Mus musculus: one gene and its partners. The protein of the gene in region 1 purifies or fractionates together with the protein of each later gene. This does not show direct contact. Links are inferred from orthologs where the notes say so. Each region holds a gene or a part of one and is shown on either strand. Other genes may lie near its edges.

Region 1 (3,970 bases):
ACAGAGGGAAAAGCTTAGGGGCGTTTCATAAAACAAAGGGACAACTTACGTAGTGGTTCTCAACCAGTGGGTCACAATCCCTCTGGGGCGAGCAACCCTTTCATAGACTATCCTGCATATCAAATAATTACGATTCATAACAGTAGCAAAATTACAGTTATGTTTTCTTTTTGGTTTTTTCGAGACAGGGTTTCTCTGTGTAGCCCTGGCTGTCCTGGCACTCACTTTGTAGACCAGACTGGCCTCGAACTCAGAAATCCACCTGCCTCTGCCTCCCAAGTGCTGGGATTAAAGGCGTGTGCCACCACCACCCGGCAAAATTACAGTTATGAAGTAGCAGCGAAAATGATTTTGTAGTTGGGAAATCACCGCAACACGAGGAACCGTATTAAAAGGGCCACAGCATTAGGAAAGTTGAGAACTTTGAGGATCCAATTCAGTGGAGTCAGCTGTGCATGCCTTCTACCACCTACATTTGATGAATGTAGCAAGCCTACTGAGCTTAGCAACATGGACTAGCAATGGTTCCATGACAACCAGTTCTGGATGCCCTGGGTTCCAATCAGACTTCCATAATCTCAAGTCCTCTTTTGATTCACAACACACCTGACATGCTGGCTTGGTAGCACAGCACGAGCGCAATTACAACCTTTCCCAGGACAGGAAGCACAGATGGAAGGTCCAGAGACTATGGTGAGGGGACTCTTAAAGGTCTCTCCCTTAACACGGTTCAAGCCACAGAACTATCCCCCGGGTTCCAGCGCCCCTCGGCGCAAGTAATGTTCTGCTGAGAGTTCCAAAATAACAGCCCAGACTGGACGATCAGGCTCTAGGCGACCCACACGACACTACACGCTGCGCCACGGCCCGGCCTCCCTGGTCTTGCCAAGTGCCTGCATGGTTCCCAGAGGGATGCTGTCCGCTACTTGGAAGTTACCTCTTGTATCTGCAGCTCCTGATCAGGTTCCAAACGTCGTTTCCCCGGCAGCGATGCCGGTGACATGTGGGGCTTACCACACGCCCCCGCCATGCTGCGCCGCGCCGGCTACCGATCTACTGCCGCTTCCGGCAGCGGGAGCGCCTCGTGTGCCCCCAGCCAGGCTCCGCCCTACCAGGCTCTGATTGGTGAGCAGCCCGGGTGAAGCCATCTTGCGCAGGCGTAGGGTGCGGCGCAAGGGCTGGGCCGGCAAAGTAGGCAGGGGAGATCACGGCGCCTGCGCACAGAGGCTACAGGTCTGGCCCTAGCGAGAGCGCGCCGGTCGCAAGATGGCTGCGGCCATGCGAGGCCTTGCTGTGTGTGCGCAGCGGGCGGCGGAGCGGCCCGGACGGCAGGGGCAGCGACGACACTAGCTCAGCCTTCAGCCACTCTTCTAAAAGGCCACCCCAGCCTCTGCCTGCTTTCGTCCGAGATGGATCTGGCCGTGGGCCCCGGTGCAGCGGGGCCCAGCAACGTCCCGGCCTTCCTAACCAAGCTGTGGACCCTCGTGAGCGACCCGGACACAGACGCGCTCATCTGCTGGAGCCCGGTAGGAGCTGGCATGGGCCGGAGCGGCCTTCGAGGGAGGGTCCTGTGGCGGGAGGGGACCTGCTTCGGAGAAAGCGGCCTGCGAGTTAGTCGGGCTCGCCCGGGTTCAGCCATCCTGGCATCCTAGAGGGAGGACGCCGCTGTCTGGGGAGGAAGTGCGCCCCGCCCCCAGAGCCACTCACGGAGAGTAGGCCGAGACCCCAAATCATCCTACATTTCACCCGGACAATAAGGACGGGGCTTCCAGTACAGGGTCTTTGCTCACAGAGAAATAGTTCCCAGAGTCCGTCTGCGTTTCTGCTTTTTAGGCAATCATTCAGAATAAGTGGAAGGCCTAAGGAATGCATGAGAGAAGAGCGAGAATAGGAGGATGTGGAGCCTAAGCTCAGCCCCGATAGTCTCCAGACGCCAGAGCAGTTTTGCCCGGCCCTCCAAGGGCCGTGTCGAACCCTGTTCTGTTGCCTGGCAGCGGACTGTGTACACCGCACACCCTGCTGGCCCTGCATCTCTGGCTGGCTTGCAGAGGTCGTTCCGTGTTTGTGTTAAGTTGGAAAGTAGAATCTGCTGTTCACATGTGGATTCTGAGGGCCAGAGCGCGCAGAGCTAGCCGATGGTGGTGGCCTGAAGACAGGCCACCCTGATTCAATGGGAACCTTTGGAGGGATGGAGGCGGCTAGGTGCCACCACCTTGACCTTCTGCAAGCCAAATCTGGCGGGTCTCTCGGTCTCTGCGGAGCACTGCCCCCTCGCACAAGTTTCTTAAGCTGGCAAGAATGGAGAAAAGGCCTGGGTGGCAGATGGAGGCCAAGGCTTCTGGCTCTCAGTTGCCTGTTTGTTTAAACTCTGCTCTGCCTAAAGGGTGTTTTGGGAATAAAGAGAAGACTAGAAAGCACGGAACTTCACTTTTCACGAGACGGTCTTTGTGATTATCCCATGGGCTATCCGTGGGCCGCGTTGTTTTCCTGAATGCCATATTCAGTTCACAGCCTGTCCTGGATTTCATACACCTGGGCAGAGAGTATGATCTTACCTTTCTATCTTTCCCCAATTTACCCCCCTCTGTTTTCTTTGACTGAAGGGGAGCTTTCTTACCTAGGTCCAGTAGGACTACCAGGTAGCCTCTGGAATAGTCTGAGCTTAATCCTATTAGGAAGATCCATCCTGTCTGCTGTTTCTGCTTATAGATTGGTACAAATGTGGGCGAGGTGTCAGTGTAGGTTCTTCCAGGACAGGGTGTTCTGATGAGGGCCTCTCAGTGTGAGGATGGAGCTGATCTGCCCTGTCACCTCCTTCCATCCACACAGCTGCAACTCATCTGTGAGCCTTGTTAGCGTGCTGGGAGTCATGGGCAAGTAGTCTGTACTGAGCAGCAGTGGACTGCTATAAGACACGCTGTAAGCAGTGGAGCTGGTATAAGAGACGGTGGTCAGTGGGAGCTGGCATGACCCTGAGTACAAAAAACAAGCTCTGACGTAGAAGTAGAAAAAAGAAAACCCTTGTCTAGGCCATCCAGGGACAGCAGAGCTTCTTGGATCTGGCTGTCTGTTCACAGGTAGGAATTCATGCTCCTGACCCGTGGCCTGTGGGGCATGTACATTGTCTTGGTAGCCTCTTAACAGCATTCCCTGCGGGCCCACTGATCAGGAAGTTTGAGGTCCACATTCTTACTCAAACTTGCAGATAAAAATTGTCTTACCCTTCTCAGGCATATCCTCCTCCTTGAGGGGCCAGGGAGCCTGTCTAGCCCCAAAAGTCTTTGAGCTTTGCTCGGTTCGGCTCCTCATTCCTGCTACAGGAGACAGAACAGATCTCTACCTTTCTCCAGTTCCATGGTTCCACTCCCCGTCCCCGGCCCGCCTTCAGTTACAGGTGCTCCACAAGAACCTCAGGCCATCCAGAGGGTTCCTCAGTCAGGTCCCACGGGACAGCACACCCTTGACCAGATTTAGGATCCCAGTAAGATCCCTGCAGGCGCGTGAACGTGGGTGTGGATGGTCCTCTCTCAGTAGGCTTCTCTTTTTACCCTGTACCAAAGGTGCCTCCAGATTCCGTGCCCAGAGATGCAACAAGTAGGTCGGGACAACAAGTAGGTCGGGCTAAACAGTGAATCCATAGGGTCATTTCTCAATCCTGGCTTTCTCTCTGTGCTTCCTGTGTCCCCTCGGTCAGACACTTGCTAGCATTGTTGGAGAGCCACCTCGGTGCATTTTGAAATGGGGAATGAAGCCCAAATAAAAAAGCCAAAGCTTAGAACCTGTATCTAGCTTTATCCAAATTTTGTAAGATCATTTTGCCCCACCCGTTTTAGAAATATTAAAAAGAAACATGAGAAATAAGTTTGTCTAACTCAAAAGAGTACAGATGGTGGTAGTTTGTGTGTGTGTGTGTGTGTTTTAATTTTCTTCTAGTTTTTAGAAGGTGAATGTTTTTGTGTGTGGTGTGGTT
Region 2 (4,086 bases), on another chromosome or scaffold:
AGGCACTGGCACAACTTGGTTTTCTGGCTCCTGGAACTGGGCCAACCTGTGACCAGCACCTTCATGCGGATGCCTAGAACTCCAGCTTCTCTGAAAAGACTGGGACCTGCTCCTCTCTAGGTCCAAAGAGCTGCATGCAGTAGGGAAGAGGCTAGAGAAGCGAAACCAGCTTGAGAAACAGCTTGTGCTCACATAGGGAGGGCGCACGTACCCGCGCGCTGTGTACGTGGGAGACCGGGGAGGCTGAGGGGTGGGGAGTGTTCTACCCAGTAGCGCAAGCTGCTAGCTCGGTTCTCTGTTCACTAGAAGGTGTCCGCAGTCACTCACCCCCACAGCCCCCGTGCCCTGTGACCGATCCAGGTCAGCTATCCCTCCCTCTGCGCTCCACTCCCCCACTGTTATGTGGGCCTCTTAGGGCCACGCGTGGAGGGTCGTTCAACCCTGGCCCACGGTAGGCAGACTTGGGGAAAATTTCTTCCCAGGGTAAGATCAAGGTAGGGGAAAAAAAAAAAAAAAAAAAGCCACCCAGCCAAGCGGCGACGAAGACACTGCCCCCGCCGCAGCAGGGGAGGTGGAGCCTAGGGGGGAGGGGTGGAGACCGCCGAGACAGGCCTAGAAACTGCTGGAAGAAATCGCAGCACCACCGCTGCTGATCCTTCCGCCGCAGGCCGCCAAAGAGTCCCTACCAGCCCAGGCCCGTGCCCCTCCCCTCGGGGAAAGCGGCTCCCAGCCTGAAGCTGTGCTGTACCCGGGAGGGTGGGGATGGGGGAATCGGGGGCCTCCTTAAAGTTGGACAAGGAATTTATCATCCTTTTCTCTTGATGTGCGATTTGTAGGGAACATTCTAGTAAGATCGGGTCTGGAAATGGCAGCCGAGTTGGCCACCTCCATTCTCTTTCAGTCCCCTGAGTTCTGGACTCTTGGGGGGTGGGGGGGTGGAAGCGCCTACCTTGAGTTTTCTGAGGCAGTCCGTAGGGTATTCGCCCGCAGATACATCCCTAATTGCATATGCATGCTCCCTGCTCATCTTGAGGGGGGACATGTCCTACTCCTGCAGAAATGGGGGATGTGCAAAACGATATTGAATTGGCCTTGACTCAGGAACCAGGCCCGGGGTCCCGCTCCTCCCCGCCCCCTCCACGATCTGCTACCATGACGTCAAGGTGGGCGGGCGGCGGCAGGTGCGTGGCCCGCAGCCACTCCTTTAAGGCGGAGGGATCCAAGGGCGGGGCCCGGGCTGTGCTTCGCCTTATATAGGGCGGTCGGGGGCGTTCGGGAGCTCTCTTGAGTCACCCCCGCGCAGCCTAGGCTTGCCGTGCGAGTCGGACTTGGTCCGGGCCCACCACCCTGCTCTGTACTACTACTCGGCTTTCCCGTCAAGGTAAGGCCGGGGTCTCTCGTCCCCGGCGGCTCTCCGGGGGCTTCTTCCCGGGGTCCCAGCCTCCATCTCATCTGTCCCAAAGCCTCCTTCCCCGGCGGGGCAGCCTGTGGAGATAACGTGTCTAGAGGTTAGAGGTTCGGGCTGTACCCCGGCGGGCTTGCACGCGAGGCTCCCCGGGGCGGGTGGATTCCCCGGAGCGTGGGGTGGGGGTGCGGCCCGGCCAGGTGGTGGGCGGCCGCACGTGGTAGTCGCCGACCCGGGACGCTGCCATGTTTGCCCTCCACTTCCGGGCGCGGCTGCAGGGTCCGCGCGGTGGCGGGCTGCTCTGCGTGACTCAGCAAGGCCTGGGGAGGTTGGCCTGGCTGCCTCCCCCGGACGCCGCCGGTACCAACGTGCTTGATTTTGGGGAGGGGTGCACAGCAGGGACGCCGGAACCCACCGCGCTTTCCCTTTCCAGATCTTTCTGCCCTCCCAGTGGAGGGCGGGGGAGGAGAGACAGAGCAGGCACGAGAAGATTCCTAGGTCCCTCCCTTTCTCCTCCCCTCCCCGGAGCTCAGATTGTTCTGGAAGCCTGGGCGCCCCGCCCCAGTGCCCGGATGCTGGGGCGGTGGGAGGGTTTCAATGGCGCCCCCTCCCCGTGTGGCTCCTGCCGACGCATGTCCGGCAGTGACGAGGGTCGTTGGACGGCTGGGCCACCATTTTACTTGGGTTCCGGCCTATGCAAGTCTGCACAGTGAGTGGTCACGGTGGAGCTCTTGATTTCTTTGTCCTGATTTAATTGCCCCGTGAGCGCCTCCCAGACTACAGCTTCAAGGTTCTCTTGCCCTGCTGGGTGGAATAAAATAAAAATTAAAAAAGACTGCTTTTTCTGTTAAAGTTGTTCCTCACCCCAATGAGGAGATTGTAGTTAAGGGGTGTGAGTACCAGGGGTTGCTTGAGGTTCTTTTTTATGTATTGTTAACTTAGTCTGGATTTTTACCATATTGCCAGGTGTTCTGTTCAGAGTCAGTGAGCTATGCACTGAACATGCCAATGTTCAAGAGTTTGACTTTTGGGCATCTGTTCTGGAAAACCCATCTTTTAGGTTTTTTTCTGTCATTTTTGTCTTGGCCATTGTAGCTTAAATGTCCTTTTTTAAAGAAAATGGCTGCTCTTGTCTCTTTGGGTTGGATACTTTCCCAGACTAAAGAAGTTTGAGCTGGATATTAAAATGTGTGTCTATAATGGTCCTTAGTAGTAATTCTTTCATTCTTAGATGCCTGAGGAAGTGCACCATGGAGAGGAGGAGGTGGAGACCTTTGCCTTTCAGGCAGAAATTGCCCAGCTCATGTCCCTCATCATCAACACTTTCTATTCAAACAAGGAGATTTTCCTCCGCGAGTTGATCTCTAATGCTTCAGATGTGAGTATTCTGTTGTTGAATTTCTAAGGCTTCACGGAAGTGTGTGTGTGTGTGGGAGTGATTGAGAAGAACAGTTCAGTTGATGTTGAAGGGGGAGGGACTGTTTGGAAAAATAAAATAATCTGGCTTTTTGCGTTTACTACAGGCCCTGGACAAGATTCGATATGAGAGCCTGACGGACCCTTCTAAGTTGGACAGTGGGAAAGAGCTGAAAATTGACATCATCCCCAACCCTCAGGAGCGCACGCTGACTTTGGTGGACACAGGCATTGGCATGACCAAGGCTGACCTCATTAATAACCTGGGAACCATTGCTAAGTCTGGCACGAAGGCGTTCATGGAGGCTCTCCAGGTGTGTGGCCTTTCATCCACACCGTCCTCTAATTTGTTACTGCTTAAGTTAAAATTTGTCTGTCTAGGGTATTACATATTAGGACACTTATTAGAAAAAAAGTACAAGTGGTTGGTCAGGACAGCTTTGACCCCTAGATCTCTGGACATTGAACTGATTGTTACCTTGCGCAGCAGATGGTTATACTTGGCCAAGAACCATGTTGCTGATCCTCTTTACTTCAAACCCTTTGCAGGCTGGTGCAGACATCTCCATGATCGGGCAGTTTGGTGTCGGATTCTACTCGGCCTATCTAGTTGCAGAGAAAGTGGTTGTGATCACGAAGCACAATGATGATGAGCAGTATGCCTGGGAGTCGTCTGCGGGTGGCTCCTTCACCGTCCGGGCAGACCATGGTGAGGCAGCAGGCTACATTGTGGGGAAACCTTAGACGTTGTATTCTATAAAAGTACATTTTAAGGGGTGGTGAGTGCCAGCACTTGGGTGAGTTCTTAAGGCAAGCAAAGGGGCTACACAGGAATCTTAGCTTGCTTGAGAAACCAGGAACGAAAAAAGCGTAGTTCGTTCTTGTATTTTAGTTTCAGTTTTTCATGTCTTGATTTGTTCTCTGTAGGTGAGCCCATTGGCCGGGGTACCAAAGTGATCCTTCACCTCAAAGAAGACCAGACAGAGTACTTGGAGGAGAGGAGGGTCAAGGAAGTGGTGAAGAAACATTCGCAGTTCATAGGCTATCCCATCACCCTCTATGTGAGTATGGGCTTGGCAGTGTTGGAGCAGGCTAATGGCACTGGGCCTTGCTGGTGCTACATTCTCCACAATTAATTACATGTGTCATTGGTGATTTAGTTGGAGAAGGAACGGGAGAAGGAGATCAGTGATGATGAGGCAGAGGAAGAGAAAGGTGAGAAAGAGGAGGAAGATAAGGAGGATGAGGAGAAGCCTAAGATTGAA
Region 3 (4,149 bases), on another chromosome or scaffold:
GGAGCCCGTCCCCCACCCGAGAGCGCGGGCCTCGTGGTCAGCGCCTCCGCGGGGAGAAACAAAGGCGGCGGCGGGGGCTCAAGGGCACTGCGCCACGGGCCCGCGCCTCCCCCATCCGGCGGCGGCCACGTAGCCGGGAGCGCGCCGCAGCCCGGAGCCTCGGGCCTCGCAGCTGCAGAGCCTGAACCGCTCTCTCCCTGCGGGCCTGCGACGAGGCTGGGGGAGGGGAGGCCCGCGCTTTGTCTGGAGTCTCGGTAGCTGTCATCCGGCTCCCACCCTCATGCACAATTGTCCCATCTCCCCCACGCACCGGCGCGGCGCCCGCCTCAGCGAGGCCCCAGCCGGTTTCCCGCAGCCCGCGGCCCACGGGGCTCGCAGCCTCCCCGCAAGCTCGGACGCACGGAGCATCCTAAACCCCACCACACGCAAGATCGAAAAAAAGCAAAGGCACGAACTTCACCGCTCCGATGCTCAGGGCCGCGGATCCTGCAGAGTCTCCCGCCTGCGCGCTTCGGTTCAGCCACATCCGAGGGGAGGGGGCGCGGGCAGCTCCGCCGGGGGGGAGGGGGAGCACCGCCCACGCCCTGGCCGCGCGGGGCCCGCCGGGAACGCGTCCTGCGGGGGGCGGCGCGCGCAATGCTCACCGTCCGCGGCGTGGCGCCCAGGGGGTCTCCTGGCTGGGGGGAGGGGGGGGAAGGCGGGCAGGAAGGACCGCGGAGGCCTCTCTGCGTCTCGGAGCGCGCCAAAGCGGGGCTCCACCCACCTCCTTGCCCGGATCTTGAAGGCCGGGGAGATAAACAGCGGGGTTCTTTAAGCACCACCTCTCACTAGGCGCGGGATCCCAAGGCTTGTGGCATCCGGGGTGGTACTTGGACTAAAAGTCCTTCTGGGAGGGACCGAGTGAGAACCCCTTTGGGACGTGTAGAAATATTTGTGTGGTTCGAGAATATTTGTGCGGACGGGCTTGGCAAAGGCGTAGCTGCAGAGAGCACGCTTGGGTGGAGAGGGCCGCACGCCCCAGCGCCGGCCTAAGCCCCTCCCGACGGCGTTATTTCAAACTGCGCGACCGTTTCTCCGCTCCCTACGCGGAGGTGGGGGCCGGACCTAGTTCCGGACGTAGTAACACGCCGAGCGCGAGCCTTCCGCAATTCACGGAACACAGTTGCGCAAGTGATGTAAAGCAGTCCCGCTGTACCTAAAGGGGGAGTGTCACGTACTTGGCGTAAGGAGAGTGTAGGCCCTTCCCGCCATTGGCGGCGGTTAGGGCGTTTACGTAACGGCGTGACGTAAGCGGAGACGCGTTAGTGGGGGGAAGGTTCTAGAAAAGCGGCGGTCTCGGCTCCAGCGGCAGTAGCAGCGGCGCCGGTCCCGTGTGCAGGAGCTCCTTTGCGGCCCAGTTTCTTGGCCATCGCCTGCTCTCCCCACAGCGCCAGGACGAGTCCCGTGCGCGTCCGTCCGCGGAGGTCTTTCTCATCTCGCTCGGCTGCGGGAAATCGGGCTGAAGCGACTGAGTCCGCGATGGAGGTAACGGGTTTGAAATCAATGAGTTATTAAAAATGGCATGGCGAGGCCGTAGGCACCGCAATGGAAACCGGCCACCCGCCTCCGTGGTCCGGCGGAGGGGATGCGGCCACTCGAGTGGCGGTTGGCCTTGGCGAGTTTCTGAGGGGTCGTTGGAGGAGGCCTCTGATTGTCCGACCGCCTTCCCCGCCCTCAGCCGCCCGGCGCCATTTCCCTCAGTTGGGGTGGGGGATGGGAAGTGCCCGCCGCGACCGGGCTGGACCGCTAAAGTAGCGCGTGAGCGGGCCATCGCTGGCCTTTCGATGTGCGCGGGCCTAGGGGCTCGGTTGTGTTCGCGGCGGAACGTTTCTGGGGCCCCCCCGGCTTCCCGGAGCGAGTCTGCGAAGCTTCCCCTCCCCCCTCTCCCGGGAACCGGATTTGGCGGCCGCCATTTTCCCGTCTCCTTCCTCGCCACGATTTTGCTTTCAACGCTTTAGGTTTACTAGTTTGGTTTTCTTTTTTCACCACTGCGTAGACGTGTTTAGCGATTTTCCTTTCTTTTGGAAGTCTTCATACCGTTTCGAGGTGGATTTAGCGTTTTGAGCTTGGGTCTTCAGCGTCCTGCGCACCTCGCTAAAGGCTCTCTGCCTTCCCCTCGACGAAATGGCGCCATTGCTTTCTGAAGCCACCGAGGCGCGGGGTGGGGGCGGGGTGGCGGCGCTCCACGAGCTTTACTGGAACAGGCAGAGAGAACGTAGTACAACCGAGGCCTGGGCGGGTGGCTGAAGGCAGCGTCGCTGCAAAGAGACCGTTTTATTTTTCATAATACGTAAGATTACGGGTGCTGTAGTAAAGCACTTGAGCATTAGTATAGTAGGAGGAAGTCAAAGTGGAAAAAATGGGAGCGCTCATCAGGAAGCTAGGGAGGCTATGTTGAGTGCAGGGTTACTTTCCTTTTATTGCAGAACTTTTATCTGCTTAAAGGATCCTCGGATCGAAATAATTCAAATTATAAGCATTTTTAAGGGAATCTTCGAATTTGTTGGTAAAGTCAACGGATCCTTAGCACGTGGTGTTCACTTTAAGGAAGTGAAATAGCTGACTTTTCATAGTTAGCCTTCGCTTAAAGCCTGGTTCAGTGGACGAAAATCCACGTCCTGGCTATATAAAAACTTAGTTTGGGGTCACAGTGTTTGAGCGTGGTCATTCGGTTTTTTTATTTTTTATTTGTTTGAAATTATGATGCATCATTACACTGATAAGCATTAGCTTTCGAATTGAAAGGGGTCTCCTTGGTTATTTTCTTTGACTCTAAGCACACTTATAAATAAAATAACCTTGTTTATAATCGATAGTGGACGTCTGGTAAGTTTGGAAAAAACCCGAGGTAAGTAAAGAGCTTTTGCTTTCGTTAGTGATATGAAAAAACAAGGTGTATTTAATACTTGCAACTTAGTTTAAGGAAAGCCAATTTACTGACATTTTAGTAGAGCTACCAGAAACACTATTTGGAGTCCTGATTAAGGCTTTTGTAACTATTTTGACTATTTAAAACAATTTTGGTCGTTTTTATTAAACATTTCAAAACCTAAAAATTGTAAACATTGGCTTTTTGAGCACATTTTGGAGAAACTTACAAATTTAGGCTATACAGTAAAATAACGGATTTGTTTTATAATTTTGCTTTTTCATTTCGTTGTGCAGTCATAGGTCCTGGATAGTATGACCTAATTTATGAACATCTTGATAAGTTTTTGTACTTAGCTATTGGAAAGCCAGTATTAAGTGCCTGACAAAACCAGATTTAAGGTGATATCTGGAGTTTCAGCATTCTTCATGGAGCTTGTTTCAGAGTTGCAGGATTTTTTTTTTTCATCTTGAGATACTTACAATTAACACCAGAGGGGGCAGCTCAGGGAAAAGCAAATATGCCACTTTTCAGAAACTGAATCTTGGAAGTGGTGAATTTGGAAACAGGTTTTTTAAATTTTTTTTAAATCTAAAAAGTAGTAAATTTTGGACTTGGGTTGTAGAATTTAATGAATTACAAAAGAATTCTTTAATACCCTTTAAATGACCTAAGAGCTGGGTATGGTTTTTCTGAATTTTTTTGAAGAAAATCTAAGAAAGTTTACGTGAATTAGAAGTTAGATCGAATATTAGTGACTTTGAAACTTGTATAGCTCAGGCAATTTTTGGTGTAACACAACTAATATGCAGTTTAACATATGGTTTAAATTTGATGTAAGTTTTTTTTCTCCCCCCCAGAAAACTTTAGAAACTGTTCCTTTGGAGAGGAAAAAGGTACTCTACCAGCAGGTCACCTCATATTTAAGAATTTAATTTCCTGCATACAAAGAAAGTGTAAATAAAAATTGAAATGGTATTTCCCTTTGCAGAGAGAAAAGGAACAGTTCCGAAAGCTCTTTATTGGTGGCTTAAGCTTTGAAACCACAGAAGAAAGTTTGAGAAACTACTATGAGCAATGGGGAAAGCTCACAGACTGTGTGGTACGTACGTTAACTCTGAAAGTCTGGCTGTATGTTTGGGTGTGAATACTAGGGAATACCAGTATCAATACATTCTAATTTATATTGCTACCTAATGCCGGGAAATTAAATGCTTATCTTTTGGATTTAAAGGTTATGC
Region 4 (4,112 bases), on another chromosome or scaffold:
TATTTTTTAAATAGGGCATTGCTAGGCGTAGTAGATGGTAGTGTGCACCTTTAATCTCAATACTTGGGAGGCAGAACTATATAGATAGACCATATCTTTAAAAAAATATCCACAGCCAAGCAGTGGTGACACATGCCCTTGATCCCAGCACTTGGGAGGCAGAGAGATGGATCTCTGTGAGTTCAAGGTCAGCCTGGTCTACATAATTAGCTAGTTCTAGGACAGCCAAAACTACACAAAGATACCTTGTATTGAAAAACAAGCGAAAAAATTCACTTTGTATTCAGTCTTCAATAAACATCAATCTTTATTCCTTTATTGAAGATGGACTCTGGATTTAGCCACGTGCTGGGTGGGTTCAGGTATAAAGAAGCAAAAGACAGACACTGACCAGTGAGTGAATCTAAGTGTCTAGACCTTTCAATGTGACTATCAAATGATAATAAGTCAATATTCCCACATTTGGGCTTATACAGGTGTGTTTGGTGGCACCAGGCAGTACCTGAAGGCTAACTATGTTAATACTTATACTGAGGCTTTGAGACTTCAAAGTCAGTAAGAAGGTCTTTGGAAGTAAAAAAAATCAGCTTGTTGGAAATGTCTGGCAGAGTCCTCTAGTATTTGCCACAGAGTAAAAATCGGAGGGGAAGAGGCCAGAGATGTATCTTTGAAGGTCCCAGGACATTCTCTGAATCTGAGTCAGGAAATTGGCCTCAGTATTGGTTCCAGGTGTTTCTGAAGTCTAGTCACTGTGCGAAAGTGCCTATATAGAAGGCCAAGAGCACAAAGTTGTCACTTTAGTCCTTGCTTCTTCAGTTTTCCAAAGCAGGCAGGTGAGTTTCCACAGCTCTTTCTTTTTGTTGTGACCTCAGATCAGCATTCCAGAATTTCTCAGAAGTCATAAGGCCCTTGAGAAAAAGTTACTAAAAACGTCACTGCAGGACGCCAGCGTCACTGAGTGTGAAGAGAGAGAAAGAACTAGACTTTCCGAGTTTAAAGATGATTTAGTCCTTACACAAAGGTGGGGCCCCAGGTGTCGGCCCTTGGACTGCTAACCCCGGGACACCCCCACGCGGCACGAAAGAGTGGTGGGGAGTCCGGAGACAGAAACCAGCCAGAGAGCACAAGGACACCGGTGCGTGTCAACCTGGCGCGAGGCGCACAGGCCCCAGGACACACACAGGACAGGGATAGGGAGGGACAGCCTGGGTAGTCTAGGAGAAGGAGGGGCGGGTGACAAATCCCCGCCTCCGATCCCTCCCAAGGTCCCGCCCCGCCGCGATTATAGCCTATGACTCAGGGCGGAGCTCCGCATCCAACCCACGGCGGCCGCCAAGTTCTCTGGATGGGACCAGAAGTTTCTAGCCGGCCAGTTGCTGCCTTCTCTTTATCTCCTCCTTCCCCTTTGGCAGCTAGGAGGCTATTTCCAGACACTTCCACCCCTCTTCGGCCACGTCACCCAGTCCTTTAATTCATAAAGGTGCCCGGCGCCGGCTTCCCGGACACATCGGCTACACAGAGGTGCCCGCACTCCACGACCTCGTGACCCGCGCCCTAGCTCTGCGCCCCGGGCGGACCCTAACCCAGCATGAGCGCCGCCACCCAATCGCCCATGATGCAGATGGCGTCCGGCAACGGAGCCAGCGACCGAGACCCCCTGCCCCCGGGCTGGGAGATCAAAATCGACCCGCAGACCGGCTGGCCCTTCTTCGTGGACCACAACAGCCGCACCACGACGTGGAACGACCCGCGTGTGCCCCCCGAGGGCCCTAAGGTGAGTGGAGCTTGCCGTCCCACCTCGACGGCGAAGGGGCCTGGTCGAGCCAGGGCTATGCGAGTCACCCCACCCCGCGCCCTGCTGCGCAAGGAGAGTCCTTAACCATATCCGCCTCGAACGGGCGTCGGGCCGCAGAGAGCCGCAGGCAGGGTGGCCTTGGACGGTAGCCAGCGGGGTGCGACCCGCGTGGTGACATCGGGTGGTTTTCCACAGCCTCTTGCGAAGGGCGAAGGGCAGTGGTGGCCTGAGCTGCGGTGCGCCGCGTCCCAGGGAAGGGCGACCGGCCTGATGAGCGGCTGAGGCCCAGGCCAGGCCCGGCCGCCGCCTCTCTGTCCCGCGCGTCCCGTGCTGAGACCCTGGGCTCCCTCCGGTGCTGATGGCGCACGGCCAGGATTGAAAGGCTGCTGAGTGGAGTCTCCTGTGGGGATTTCACTTTCAAATTCAGAACTTAGTTGAGGCTTATCTTGAGTTTACTGGATCTTAGGCATAGAGTGACTCAGGAGGCTCGAGTAAATAAGTTATTTTCCCCCATTAAACTTATTATTACTGGTCGAAACTGCTTTCAGTTAGAGAAAATTCTGATACTACCACTATTTTTTTTTAAGATACTCTTTCTGACAGTTCCAAAACTAAAGATCAGACATTGTATCACCATACTTAGCCACTGCCTTAAGACTCACACTGGAGTGAAAGAATGTATTTTTAATGGCGTGATTCCTTGTTGTCCTTTTCAAATACTGGAGTTTTGTTACCAGAAACAGCTGAGGAGTCTGGTGAACACTAGGTGTATGCTTCATTTGCATAGATATTCAGGTTTGTGTACTTCAATCTAAAAAGCAAGAAAAATTGAAAATACAAATTTGGAATGAAGCCCAGCCTGGTTCAGGCCTGTCATCCCAGCACCCAGGAAGCTGTGGCGAGAGGATCTTGAGTTCAAGTCTAGCCAGGGCTATATAATCGGAGTCTATCTCAAAAGTTATTAAGTAATTAAGTTGGAATGAAACTAGCCTGTGTTGCAAAATAAGACCTTGTCTTTTTTTATAAAAAAAAAGAAAAAAAAGATTGAGCTGGGCAGTTGTGGCACACCTCTTTAATCCCAGCACTTGAGAGGCAGAAGCAGGCAGATTTCTGAGTTCAAGGCCAGTCTGGTCTACAGAGTTCCAGGACAGCCAGGGCTACACAGAGAAACCCGATCTCGAAAAACCAATAAAATAAAATAAAAATAAATAAAAATTCGATTGAATTTTGAGTGAAGAACTTAAAAATACAAATTTAGGTAGGATTTTTCTTGTTTGTTTTGTTTTTCTTTTTTTAAAATTAGATATTTTTTTATTTACATTTCAAATTTTATTCCTTTCCTCATTTCCCCTCCGAAAACCCCCCTATCTCATTCCCCCCCTCCCTGCTCATTACCCCACTCACTCCCGCTTCCCTGTCCTGGCATTCCCCTACGCTGGAGCACAGAGCCTTCATAAGACCAAGGGCCTCTCATTGATTTCCCACAAGGCCATCCTCTGCTACATATTGGGCTGGAGCCTTGAGTCCCTCCATGTGTACTCTTTGGTTGGTGGTTTAGTCCCTGGGAGCTCTGGGGGTAGTGGTTGGTTCATATTGTTGTTCCTCCTATGGGGCTGCAAACCCCTTCAGCTCCTTGGGTTGCTTTGCTTTTCAAGACAGGGTTTCTCTGTGTAGTGTTGGCTGACCTGGAACTCACAGAGATCCTCCTGCCTCTGCTTTCTGAGGCATGAGCCACCACCATCCGGCCACGTAGGATCTTTGAAAATATAGTTAACAGAAGTCATATTTAGCATAATGTTCAGTAATAATTTATGTACATTTGGTCCTTTCAAAATGAAAAGTTTGGTAAAGTAAATGCACTTTAAAATAGGACTCTATCATCAATGGGAGGAGAGGCCCTTGGTCCCGTGAAGGTTCTATGCCTCAGTATAGGGGAAGGCCAGGGCCAGGAAGCAGGAGTGGATGGGTTGGTGAGCAGGGGGAGGGGGGAGGGGATGGGAGTTTTCAGAGGGGAAACTAGGAAAGGGGATAACATTTGAAATGTAAATAAAGAAAATATCTAATTAAAAAAGGAAAAAAGAAAAAAAAAAATAGGACTCTACTTTGGGCCTGACCTGGTGGTACACAGCTTTAATCCCAGCTCTCAGAGGCAGAGGCAGGTGGATCTCTGAGTTCAAGGCCAGCTTAGTCAATAGAGAAATGTTGCCTCAAACAAACAAAACAAAACAAGAAGAAATACTCTTAACTTATTACTTTCTGGAAAAAAATAAAAGCAGTAAAGAGTTTATAAATTGTTTGGTATTTTCAAAAACTCACC
Region 5 (3,500 bases), on another chromosome or scaffold:
TACAAGGCCCCCTCCTCCTAGGACCCCGGCACACCTACCTGCACAGGGCTCCAAGCACATGCTCATGGAAAGGACTGTGTTCTGTCCTCACAAGGGCCACCAGCTGCTGGACCATCCCCATGGAGCAAAGGGTTCCTGGGGGAAGAGCTGTGGGAGTCAGCAAGGACGTTCCCATACCACTCCCATGCGCCCCAGATGCCTTTGTCAGGCCATCTGCTCACCTTTGTGCTCAGGGTGGCCCACCAGCAAGTTCTGCAGCAGGAATGCTGACTTGACCTTGAGCTTCTGCACTTGCTGCTGCATGGCCCGCATCAGCACTGAGAATCCATCCAGGCGGAGGAACTGCAGCAACCCAGCCTCCTGCTCTCGGACAAGACCTGGAGGGAGAAGCAGAGCTCTGAGGTCCCAGTCACTATGGCCTTCAGCATCACCACCACCACAGGCACCAACGCCACTAGCGTTGTGACCATCACCACTATACCCCTCTCACCACCATCTCAGTTACTACAACTAACTCCACCCATTCACTCTTATCATCATTGCCATCACAATCAGCATCAATTCTAGCACCACCATCACCATCAGCAGCACCACAATACCATAACCATTACTAAACCCGTCAATATCACCATCATCACCTTGACCACCACCACCATTTCCATTAATAGCCATCATCCCCTGTACTATCACCATTGCTACAGCCATGAACACCCTCACCACCAAATCACTATTAGCATCACAACCAGCATTATCATTACTACGTAGTCACTACTTCCATTTACCAGCACTATCATCACAATCACCACCACCGCCATCACTTCAACCATCAGTGGTACTGCCACCATCCCACTGTCAGCAGCAGCAGCAGCATCATGACCGCCACCACCATCACCATCATATAGTTCATCATCATAACCCAGAGTTCACCCTCTTAATGCATGTAACTCAGTGTTTTTTAGCATGTTCACAAGCTATGCAGCCATGGCTATCACAACTCCAGAACATTTATATCATGCTGGTACCCAGTGGATGACATTCCCATTCTCAAGTGTCCCTCCTGCCTCTGCCACCACAGGTCTAGTTTCTTTCCCTATTGATTTGCCTATCTTGGATACCTCCTCTGAATGGACTCACACAACACAAACCTTTGTATCTAGTTTTAGTCACTCAATTAAATGTTTTCAAGAATTCTGTAACTACTTCATTTCTTCTTACACTAGAGCAATATTCTATCTTAGAGGCATGTAACTTGTCTTTTGCTACTTTGTGGGTTGTTCTTTCTTCCACCCTTCTCCATCCCTTTTCTTTCACCCTTTCAATCTCCTAGCACTGGATAAGAGGAAAAAAGGATAGAGAGAAAAGGAAAGAGACCCCTGAATAAAGTCAGGGGTCCGAAGGGGGAAGGCAACGTTTTTGTTAGACTACTTCCTGCTGATTAAGGCATTGCTGATTGGGGCAAGACTGATCTTTAGTGTAAGTATCTAATCTCTTCTTGTAGTTTCTTCTTTCTGTGCACTGACTACTTAACACACTATGATCAACAGCAATCAACAACCACCCCTGCCTCTTGGAACCCTTGCATTTATTTATTTATAAATCCTCTGAAAAGTTCCCGAATTATAACCATCACACAATTACAGAAACTATCTGCACCTGGCAAAATCATGCCCCTGCTAAAGCATGAGGCAAATCACAGTCAGCTGCTATGGACAATCTGAAGCAGCCCCATATCCCACACCTGGGATTAAAACAAAAACATATTCTTATAATATTTTTGTGTATAATATTTTGGATACCTCCTATGAATGGATATTTTTGTGGTTTTTAGAGAAGCCAAATTTCCAAAATTGCCTTTGTAGAGACAACAGCACATGTTTGTGCATTATCACCTTTTACTTTTCACATATACCCAGTAGATAGGTGTTCTTGGGTTCCAAATTTATCTATTTTCTCATTCATTCAGTCATTTACTTATTTTGGTCTTTTTCTGTTTGTGTACATGATACATATGTGTATCGTGCACGTGAAACCCAGAGGTCAAGCCCGGTGTTGTCCAGAATCACTGCCTACCGTGTTCATTGAGGCGGGGTTTCTCACTGAACCTGTAACTCCCTGGTTATAGCAGGCTGAATTACTAGGAGTTCCAAGGACTACCAAATCTCTGCTCCCCAGCTCTGGGATTACAGCCCCAAGCCTCCTTGTTTGTCCTGTTACACGGTACTGGGCATCTGAACCCAGGTTCTCATGCTTGCAAGCATTTTACCAACTGAATCATTTCCCCAGCCTTATTTATCAGCTTTAAGATGAGGTTTCATAGGTCTCAGTCTGGCCTCCAGCTTGCTCACACAACCAAAGATGACCCGAGTTCTTCTTAGCCTTACTGTTTCCACCTTCAAAATGCAGGGGTTAAAGGAATGCACCACACGTGTCTTAAATTCCCATTTAACAGACACGACAGCCAGGCTTCAGAGCATGTATGATCTTTCTTCCGAAGGCAACAAGGATTCTGAGAAGCCGTCAAGCAGGGTAACAGCCAACCAGGGATGCGTCTGCAGGAAGGTCAAGCTCCAAGCCTTCACTGCTCAGACAGAAGCCACTGCAAGTTCAAGGCCACTAGGTACCTCACATGTGCCAAGTGTGACTAAGGAGCTGGGCTGTCTGTCCCCTTTCAAGTTCATTGAAATAGAAAGTCAACAACCAGAAAGGCAGTACATTTTTCCTCTAAACACAACTCTGTTGTTTTAGTAAAACTATACACCAACCTTTGGAAGCTCTACACCTAAACTGAGATGTGCTGAGTGTAAAATGCATACCACAGACTTCTGAGACTTAGCAAGACATAAAGACACAAAAGATCATTAACAGTCCATATGCAGGGGCAAGAGGGATGGCTCAGTGGTTAAGCTCTTAACTCTGGGGCCGCTCTCCCAGAAGACTCAGGTTCATTTCTCAGAACTCACGTGGTGGCTCAATCACCAGTAATTTCAGTCCCAAGGGATCCAGTGGACTTCTCCTTCTGAAGAGCTGCGCACCAGGCATACAACTTAGTTGTACAGGCACACATCCACATAAAATACCCATAAACTCATAAAAAATAAATTTAAAAAAGTTTAAAACTGAAAGGGGCTGGAGAGATGGCTCAGAGGGTAAGAGCATCGACTGTTCTTCCAAAGGTCCTGAGTTCAAATCCTAGCAACCACATACTGGCTCACAACCATCCGTAATGAGATCTGACGCCCTCTTCTGGCACATCTGAAGACAGCTGCAGTGTACTTATTTATAATAAATAAATAAATAAATAAATACCTTAGAAAACTTTAAAAATAGGTCTGTACCCACTATGTGCTCTGGAGCTGGGGTCATAGGCAGTGACAATTGCCCGATGTGGATACCAGAAACGCTGCTCATCCTCTGCAAAAGCAGTATGCTTCTTTTTTAATAAATAAATAAATAAATAAAAACCTGCTGAGCCATCTCTCTAGCTTATTTTCTTTCTCAAG
Region 6 (3,500 bases), on another chromosome or scaffold:
CAAATTCTAGCTCATGGACTAGGTTCTTGTAAATTCATTAACTAGTTAATTAATTTATGTATGTGGGTATTTTTGTTTCTATATATGTCTGTATATACCTGACCTGAAGAAGGTGTCAGATCCTCTGTAACTGGAGTTACAGATGGTTGTGAACCTCCATACAGGTGCTAGGAATTGAACCTGTGTCCTTTGGAAGAACAGCCAGTGCTCTTAACTGCTGAGCCATCTCTCCAGCCCCACTCATGGGCTCTTGTATCTTGTATACTAAACATCTGGATTTTATTCTCATTCTCCCCACCCCCTTTCCATCAGTGAGCCTCTTCTGTATAAAGTTCCCTTTCCTATTTTCAGATCCTTAGGATAGGCTACCACAAGTGGAGTTACTGGGTTAGAGAGTATGGACTTTTGTGTGTTTTTACCTACAATATTTAGATTTGTTGTTAATTGATTTATATTCATTGTAGAAGATAAAAATTACAGCGATTGTGCTTCTTATCTGAAGGTAAGGTTTTATGGTTCAGGAAGCTTGGGAAATTGCCAGGATAATAAAGCTCCTTGAAGGGGACTTATGCCAACATCCCTGAACCTTGCTGGTCACTTTATAGGTGGCTTTGTTGTTGTTGTTTGTATATGTTTAATAGTTAGTGAATGATTTATATAGGAATTATTTTATTGGCTAAGTTATATCTTATTGATCCAAGCAACTAAACCACCAAGCTTTTAGAGATTTATGAGAAAAGGTAGTTAAAAGTCTTTAGTATGATTTTTTTTGAAAAAAATTATAACTTACTTAATTTAAAACTTATTTATTACTAACGAGCGCGTGAATCTTTAATTATATACTTAGACTATAGGCAAATGACACGAAAATAGACAGTAACAAAGATTGTACAAATCTTGTTTATCCCCCTTTTCCTCCTACAGAATGTGAAAACCTTTGCATCTTCTGATAGTCTAGCCAAGGTCCAAGAAGTAGCAAGCTGGCTTTTGGAAATGAATCAGGAACTGCTCTCTGTGGGCAGCAAAAGACGACGAACTGGAGGCTCTCTGAGAGGGAATGCTTCCTCAAGCCAGGTTGATGAGGGACAGATGAATCGCGTGGTTGAGGAGGATCCACAGCAGCAAGCGAGACATCAAGAGGAGGAGCACACTGCGCGGAATGGTGAACTTGTGGGTGCAAACCCTAGGCCTGGAGACCAGAACGATACCCAGCAAGGACAAGTGGAGGAAAATAATAACCGCTTTATTTCAGTAGATGAGGACTCTTCGGGAAATCAGGAAGAGCAAGAGGAAGATGAAGAGCATGCTGGGGAACAGGAGGAGGAAGAGGAGGAAGAGGAAGAGGAGGAGGAGATGGACCAGGAGAGTGATGATTTTGATCCGTCTGATGACAGTAGCAGAGAAGATGAACATACGCACAATAGCAATGTCACAAACTGCAGTAGTGTCTCGGACCTGCCCGCTCACCAGCTCTCCTCTCCATTCTATACAAAGACAACAAAAGTGAGTACCTTTAGTCCCCTTCCAGCTGGTATGCTACCTCGCTAGTTCAGTTATAGTGAAGTCATCCTTGCAATCTTCACATGCAGAACAACTTTAGTAAGTCAGTTTTAGTTTGTTAAAGGCTTTAGTGTTAGAAATACAGATACTAATAAGAAGTCAACTTAATTGCAAAACTAGGGGGTGCGGATTGATGTTGTTTACCACCAAAAAAAAAAAAATCACCAGCTTCACCTTTGCTGCCAGAGTGGTTTGGGTGAGTGTGCAGGGTTGGTGTGAAATATGATGTGTGTAAATTAAGTAATGAAGAATCTTATTTGCAGAGTAGCTAATGTAGTCACTGTCTGTCGTTTCACCAGCGTTAACTCTAATGGGTAAGTTAGTGGAAGTCACAGCAAATAGTTCTGCGTTGTTGTTCAGAAGTTAACCGTGGCTCATGGATGTCTAAGTAGACTAGCTTTCAGTTAACCTGTTCTAGGGATTGCATGGAGTGACAGGTCACTTGTTCTACACACATAAAAACAAACAGTCCACATCAGACATCCCTTTACTCATTTGCTGATTTTTAAATTTAACAATGAATCATTGGATTTAGTCTGTAAATACCTGTAAATTTAACAGTATCTCTTTCAATATGGTTTGACTTTAACTATAGTATCTAATACAGTTGGCTTAAAATTCAATTTGCTGAATCAGTTTTGTTTTTAGGTTGTAAAACAAACTGTCTCAGAGAACGTTTGTACCTCTAATCTCCAGAGCCTGGTCACGTTGTTTTATTTACTTGCTGGCATGGCTTAGGAAGGAAGTGGCATCAGGTCATGGCTCTCTCCCATTTAACTTTCTCAAAATGGAGGGTTTTGGTCTGGGCTGATTCTTAGTGTTTTGCCGTTCTTTTTATTTCCGTCATAGCAGTTTAGAAAATCCTCTAGCACTCTGGAGGGCAGGGCAGGAAGATTATGAATTCAAGGCAAGACATTCTCTCAATTGCTTAAAAGACGTTTTAAAAGTTACCTGTAGCTGTATTAAGACTTCACATATCGAAATCTATTAATAAGAAGAAATTTATACTAATTCAGTATTTTATTTTGGAGGCCTTTACATCTTTGATCATTATAAAACAACAGAATTGTACAGTATCCTAGGCTGCAGTTTCATTTCAGTCCGCAACGTGGGGCCTTAGAGAAGAGTAGGGCTGAGATGGGAATCCTACTGGAGAGGCAGGTGTGGCAGCCTCATCACTTAAGGCAGGAAGATTGTTGTAGATTTCAGGCTGGCCTGGGCTGTATAGTGGGTGTGAGTCTGGGATGGACTGTTCAGAAGACTTTTATCTTTGAAAGGAAGAAAACGTCTTCCACGTTCTCAGTTTGCTTTAAAAATGTCCCTGTAGAAGTCTCCAGCAATCCTGACCGCAGCTCCACTTAGTGTGTCATTCTGCAGCATTTCTGCATTAATGAGAAAAGGCGTGTGTTCTCTGTTGCATTGGTTTACTCTACAGAGCACAATGGAGACTGTCCAGACTAAGGGCAGTTTCCTGCCCTTGGTCATTGAGCTTTCCTTTTTTGTGAGTGTAGAGAAGACGGACAGCAGTTTTGACCTAACTGTGAAGTGGGCACCCTTAAGTGCTGAGTATAACAGTGGCCAGTGGTTCAAGGCAGACTTGTACTAGTTCTTAAAATTTCTGAACTCTTGACAGGTTTTTTGAGGTGCTTTCTGTCCAGGTGACTGACAGACCCATTTGGACTAACTCTTAGTTATAGGGAACAGTCTCTGCTCTTTATAAGAAAGCCATGTTTCCTCTTGGGGCCATTAAGTTTTGTTCTTAAGGGAATATGCCATAAGCAGTATAGAGTATATTAGATACTAGATAAACAGATCGGGAATTCTAATATTAAGTGTCAAGGCTAATTGTAGTCAATAATTGCTGCTTATTAAATACAAACTGTTTACACGTTCCTGAATAGATAAGTAAACAGGTTATAGGGAGCCCAATGGTTCACTCC
Region 7 (3,980 bases), on another chromosome or scaffold:
TCATCCCTCCCAAGGACCACCCCTCTCCTGTCCCATTATTGCCTGCTGGAGACAGACAGAGCAGCAGCTGTGATGACATCGCTCCACTCCCAGCTATGGGGCCAGGGGAGACACATCTTCCCTAATTTTGAATGAAGATTCCTCCTTCATGCAACCTTCTAGACATGCCCACCACTGCTCCCTTGGGCAACCACTCTGTCCCTTCACAAGATAGGGTATGAGGCTTAAACGGCAGGCCAAAGGGTTAGAGAGATGCATACATACATACATACATACATACAATACATGTCTACCATGCACAGTGCCATGGATTCCAAGCTTAACAACACCCAAAACAACAAACAACAACAAAAAACCCACATTAATAAAAAAATAGCAAAATCAAAACAATGCTTGCAGGATACTAGCTTGGTGGAAGGACACTTACTTCCCTAGCATGTACAGGATCAACTTTGATCAACACCTCAAAAATTCAACACACTTAAGACTTAGGGAAAGGAGAAATGACTCAACAGGTAACTTGCACTGAAAACTGACTACCTGAGTTCAATCTCGGGAAACCACATGAAGGAGGGGAGAAATGACCCCGGCAAAGTCTCTCTGACCTCCACACACAAATAAATAAGGAATTGTAATGCTTTAAACTGCTTGGCACTGGTGGCTCAGTGTGAATCCCAGGCAGAGGCAGGCAGCTCTGAGTTCAGCTAGAAGTCAGCCTGGTCTATAAAGCAAGTTCCAGGACAGCCAGGGCTGCACAGAGAGACCCTGTCTCAAAAAAACAAATAAACAGGGCATGGTGGCACACACCTTTAATCCCAGCACTCAGGAGGCAGAGGCAGGCAAATTTCTAAGTTCAAGGCCACCTTGGTCTACAGAGTGAGTTCCAGGACAGCTAGGGCTATACAGAGAAACCCTGTCTGGAAAAACAAAAAACAAACAAAACTGAATTAATTAAAAAAAAAAAAAAACAAGGGCAGGAGAGATGGCTCAGTGGTTAAGAGCACTGACTGCCTTTTAGAAGGTCCTGAGTTCAAATCCCAGCAACCACATGGTGGCTCACAATTATCCGAAATGAGAGTCTGAAGACAGCTACAGTGTACTTAGATATAATAATAAATAAATCTTAAAAAATAAAAAATAATAAATAAATAAAAATAAAACATAAGTGGCCTTAAGGGCTTTGCTAATGCAAGAGTTTAATCCCAGTACTCAGAGGGCAGAGGCGGCCAATCTGTGTGAATTTGAGGGCAGCCGGTAACAGAGTTCTAGGACAGCCAGGACTATACAGTGAGAACAGAAGGGGGCCAGGAGAATCAAAACAAACCCAAAACTTCTTAATGAATTAATACACATGCAGGCCAAGGAGAAACGTCCCCATATTTACTGCCCATTCCCCTACCAGACATGTAACACAAAGTAAAAGATTCAACTATCTGCTGGACCAGTCAAGAACAAAGAACAGGGCAGGAAGCCTGGCTGAACATCATCCCAGCACTTGGGAGGTGGAGGCAGCAAAGTGAGGATGAAGCCAGCCTGGTCTACATGAGGAGCTGGATGTCAGCCTAGGTTATAAGAGTCTGTCTTCAAAATCAGAATAATGATGATGTAGGAACGATTTGCCTAGTTCTTCCCAATCCTAACAGCGAAAGTAATTCCCTTGTACAAAGGAGGAAACCAAGAGGTTTGGCGAGATTAGCGATTTCGCCTAAGGCCACACAGCAAGCTGACAGCAGCCGGCGCTGGGCATCAAACTCAAAGGCTGTCTGTCAGTTCAAACAAAAACTTGTTTCTAGTTCCTGAGGAGTCACTGGAGGTAAAAGGGATCAAGTAGATGTCTTCGGACCCGCACAAAACACTTGCCTTCGGTGTTTTAAAATAAAAAACCCTATCTTAAAAACTGGGAAGGGCCAAGGGACTCAAAAGAAAAACAATGCCGCCGAGAGCAAACGTCCCCAGGCATCTTTCACTTTTTAGGCAAACATTTTGAAGCCATGGAAGAAATTCTTTATTTTTCCTTCAAAATCTGCAATAATGAAATTTATCAAAAAAAAAAATAATAAACATGAAGAAAGTAAGGTCTGGAGACCGAAGAGGGCTCATGACTGTGTCCAAGCTACACTGGGCATCAATAACTGAGGTAAAAATGTTGCTCCCGACGCCCGACCACAGGGCATTGGGATCCCACCCGTTACAAACGAGGCCAGAAAAGCCCACGACACCTAGCCACTGTTCAAAGTTGGGGTCCACAGAAATTAAAGTGGGGGATCTGGATCTCTGAAACGCCAAAGGGAAGAAGCTTTGTCCAAGACCCTACGAGAACGCGCGCGCGGCCTTCACGCGGCCCAGAGCCACCCGCCTCGCCGGCCACAGTCAGGAAGCCGCCGCGGTCTCGCTGCACTGCGGCCTGAGACGCGCGCGCAGGGCTTCTTGACCCTCAGGCGCCGCCGTACCGCGACCCCGCTTTGGTCGCCCAGCTGCCCCCTCCCCCTCCCGGCGCCTCCGCTTCATTCAAACCGTCTTGCCCAAGCCCCGGGAGCCTGGTTCCGCCCGGGAGCCTCCATTCCTTACCTGGAGGTAACGGCGCCGTAACCTTCCTGGCGCCGCCCCCAACCCTCCACGAGGGGTCGGGGACAGAGTGGGCGTCTCGCTTCTCCTCAGGAAACAAAGAAGCCGTCTCCGCCGCTGCCAAGCGAGTGGGAAAGCCTCGCGCGCGCGCCCGCTGGGCTTCGCCAGGCCACCCCCCCCCACCGCACGCGCCCGCCGCGCGCCCCCGCCTCCCTGTCTACCCGCTCCACTTGCCCTGCTTCCGCTGCCCGGCCGGCCTCGTGCGCGCGCCAGCCCACCCTTCCGCTCTCTGCGCGCATGCTCAGCCATTCGCTGTGCGCACGCGTACTAGTCCTTTGAGGGCGCGAGGAGGTGGGCGGGCCCAGAGGCTGCACAAGATCCTGGTGCACCGCCCCTGTGGGGGGCTCGGGGCGGCTCTGCGCAAGCGCACATCTACCTCCCAGGCACGAAACTGGGCCTCAAGCCGGGAGGCATGCGCAGTGGGGGTAGCACTGCGGCGACGCTTAAAGGTTGGGGGAGGGGGTGGGTGGTCCAGATGGGAGATAGTAAGGATGAAATTAAAGTCCTCAGGCTCGGAGCAGTTGGAGCACCCAGGGAGGAAAGAGAAGCGGAGAGATGGCCAAGCTATCCCAGGACCGGCAGAGCCCACGCGGTGCTAAGTGCAGGCCCGGGAAACGCTTTGATCCTGGTTCTGGCGCTGCCCTGCCTGCTCTGCAAGACTCTGCCCTGGCCACATTTCCTGCAGAACCTGCTGAGGCCCAGTAATTAGCTTTACAAATATTTATTGAGCTGCTATCGGCTACTTGCTGCCCTCTATTACAGTCTGTGGGGAGGCAACCGAATGAATAAGTAAAATACAGAGTGTGAGGTAGAAACAGCCATATTCACAATTTAACTTCTGATTTCCAAGAAAGCCATTAGCCTTGGAGCATAGAACTCTGTCCAAATCTGTAGATTCATGCCTCTGGTTGAGTTTTTAAAATATTTGGTAGTGTTCGGGAGGCAGAGGCAGGTGGATCTCTTGAGTTTGTTACCAAGGTGTTACTTGTTTTTGTTGTGTGTCTTTATGGTTTGTTTGTTTGTTTGTTTGTTTGTTTTTATTTTTTTGGTTTTTCGAGACAGGGTTTCTCTGTGTAGCCCTGGCTGTCCTGGAACTCACTCTGTAGACCAGACTGGCCTCGAACTCAAGAAATCCGCCTGCCTCTGCCTCCCGAGTGCTGGGATTAAAGGCGTGCGCCACCACGCCCGGCTGTCTTTAGTTTTTTAAGACGGGTTTTCTTTGTGTAGCCGTGGCTGTCCTGGCACTTGCTCTAGACTAAGCTGGCCTCGAACTCAGACATCTTCCTTCCTGAGTGCTGCATGCATGTACCAATCCAGCTTGGTCTTTTACATAGTGAGGTTCCAGGGCAGCCATG

Evidence for each region.
Region 2: the proteins of Hsf1 (region 1) and Hsp90ab1 purify together in Homo sapiens (affinity purification with western blotting; 3 studies listed by BioGRID, with this or other methods). This does not show direct contact. The link is inferred for Mus musculus from reciprocal best matches to the Homo sapiens genes HSF1 and HSP90AB1.
Region 3: the proteins of Hsf1 (region 1) and Hnrnpa2b1 purify together in Homo sapiens (affinity purification with mass spectrometry; 3 studies listed by BioGRID, with this or other methods). This does not show direct contact. The link is inferred for Mus musculus from reciprocal best matches to the Homo sapiens genes HSF1 and HNRNPA2B1.
Region 4: the proteins of Hsf1 (region 1) and Bag3 purify together in Homo sapiens (affinity purification with mass spectrometry; 3 studies listed by BioGRID and IntAct, with this or other methods). This does not show direct contact. The link is inferred for Mus musculus from reciprocal best matches to the Homo sapiens genes HSF1 and BAG3.
Region 5: the proteins of Hsf1 (region 1) and Hspbp1 purify together in Homo sapiens (affinity purification with mass spectrometry; 5 studies listed by BioGRID and IntAct, counting the BioPlex papers as one, with this or other methods). This does not show direct contact. The link is inferred for Mus musculus from reciprocal best matches to the Homo sapiens genes HSF1 and HSPBP1.
Region 6: the proteins of Hsf1 (region 1) and Fbxw7 purify together in Homo sapiens (affinity purification with western blotting; 4 studies listed by BioGRID, with this or other methods). This does not show direct contact. The link is inferred for Mus musculus from reciprocal best matches to the Homo sapiens genes HSF1 and FBXW7.
Region 7: the proteins of Hsf1 (region 1) and Smarca4 purify together in Homo sapiens (affinity purification with western blotting; 3 studies listed by BioGRID). This does not show direct contact. The link is inferred for Mus musculus from reciprocal best matches to the Homo sapiens genes HSF1 and SMARCA4.

The regions. Positions count from the first base shown.
Region 1 is NC_000081.6:76,476,192-76,480,161, forward strand, and holds the start of Hsf1 (heat shock factor protein 1), read left to right. Parts: upstream 1-1,170; 5' UTR 1,171-1,409; coding exon 1,410-1,526; intron 1,527-3,970. Other genes in the region: ribosome biogenesis protein BOP1, read right to left, coding at 938-1,030. UniProt on the Homo sapiens protein: Functions as a stress-inducible and DNA-binding transcription factor that plays a central role in the transcriptional activation of the heat shock response (HSR), leading to the expression of a large class of molecular chaperones, heat shock proteins (HSPs), that protect cells from cellular insult damage.
Region 2 is NC_000083.6:45,570,462-45,574,547, reverse strand, and holds the start of Hsp90ab1 (heat shock protein HSP 90-beta), read left to right. Parts: upstream 1-1,286; 5' UTR 1,287-1,381; intron 1,382-2,636; coding exon 2,637-2,783; intron 2,784-2,928; coding exon 2,929-3,135; intron 3,136-3,370; coding exon 3,371-3,530; intron 3,531-3,748; coding exon 3,749-3,882; intron 3,883-3,981; coding exon 3,982-4,086. UniProt on the Homo sapiens protein: Molecular chaperone that promotes the maturation, structural maintenance and proper regulation of specific target proteins involved for instance in cell cycle control and signal transduction. Undergoes a functional cycle linked to its ATPase activity.
Region 3 is NC_000072.6:51,467,046-51,471,194, reverse strand, and holds the start of Hnrnpa2b1 (heterogeneous nuclear ribonucleoproteins A2/B1), read left to right. Parts: upstream 1-1,349; 5' UTR 1,350-1,518; coding exon 1,519-1,524; intron 1,525-3,768; coding exon 3,769-3,804; intron 3,805-3,899; coding exon 3,900-4,010; intron 4,011-4,142; coding exon 4,143-4,149. UniProt on the Homo sapiens protein: Heterogeneous nuclear ribonucleoprotein (hnRNP) that associates with nascent pre-mRNAs, packaging them into hnRNP particles.
Region 4 is NC_000073.6:128,522,271-128,526,382, forward strand, and holds the start of Bag3 (BAG family molecular chaperone regulator 3), read left to right. Parts: upstream 1-1,312; 5' UTR 1,313-1,588; coding exon 1,589-1,774; intron 1,775-4,112. UniProt on the Homo sapiens protein: Co-chaperone and adapter protein that connects different classes of molecular chaperones including heat shock proteins 70 (HSP70s), e.g. HSPA1A/HSP70 or HSPA8/HSC70, and small heat shock proteins (sHSPs), e.g. HSPB8.
Region 5 is NC_000073.6:4,664,482-4,667,981, forward strand, and holds part of Hspbp1 (hsp70-binding protein 1), read right to left. Parts: intron 378-3,500; coding exon 222-377; intron 136-221; coding exon 39-135; intron 1-38. UniProt on the Homo sapiens protein: Inhibits HSPA1A chaperone activity by changing the conformation of the ATP-binding domain of HSPA1A and interfering with ATP binding. Interferes with ubiquitination mediated by STUB1 and inhibits chaperone-assisted degradation of immature CFTR.
Region 6 is NC_000069.6:84,902,577-84,906,076, forward strand, and holds part of Fbxw7 (F-box/WD repeat-containing protein 7), read left to right. Parts: intron 1-924; 5' UTR 925-993; coding exon 994-1,503; intron 1,504-3,500. UniProt on the Homo sapiens protein: Substrate recognition component of a SCF (SKP1-CUL1-F-box protein) E3 ubiquitin-protein ligase complex which mediates the ubiquitination and subsequent proteasomal degradation of target proteins.
Region 7 is NC_000075.6:21,614,989-21,618,968, reverse strand, and holds the start of Smarca4 (transcription activator BRG1), read right to left. Parts: upstream 2,801-3,980; 5' UTR 2,569-2,800; intron 1-2,568. UniProt on the Homo sapiens protein: ATPase involved in transcriptional activation and repression of select genes by chromatin remodeling (alteration of DNA-nucleosome topology).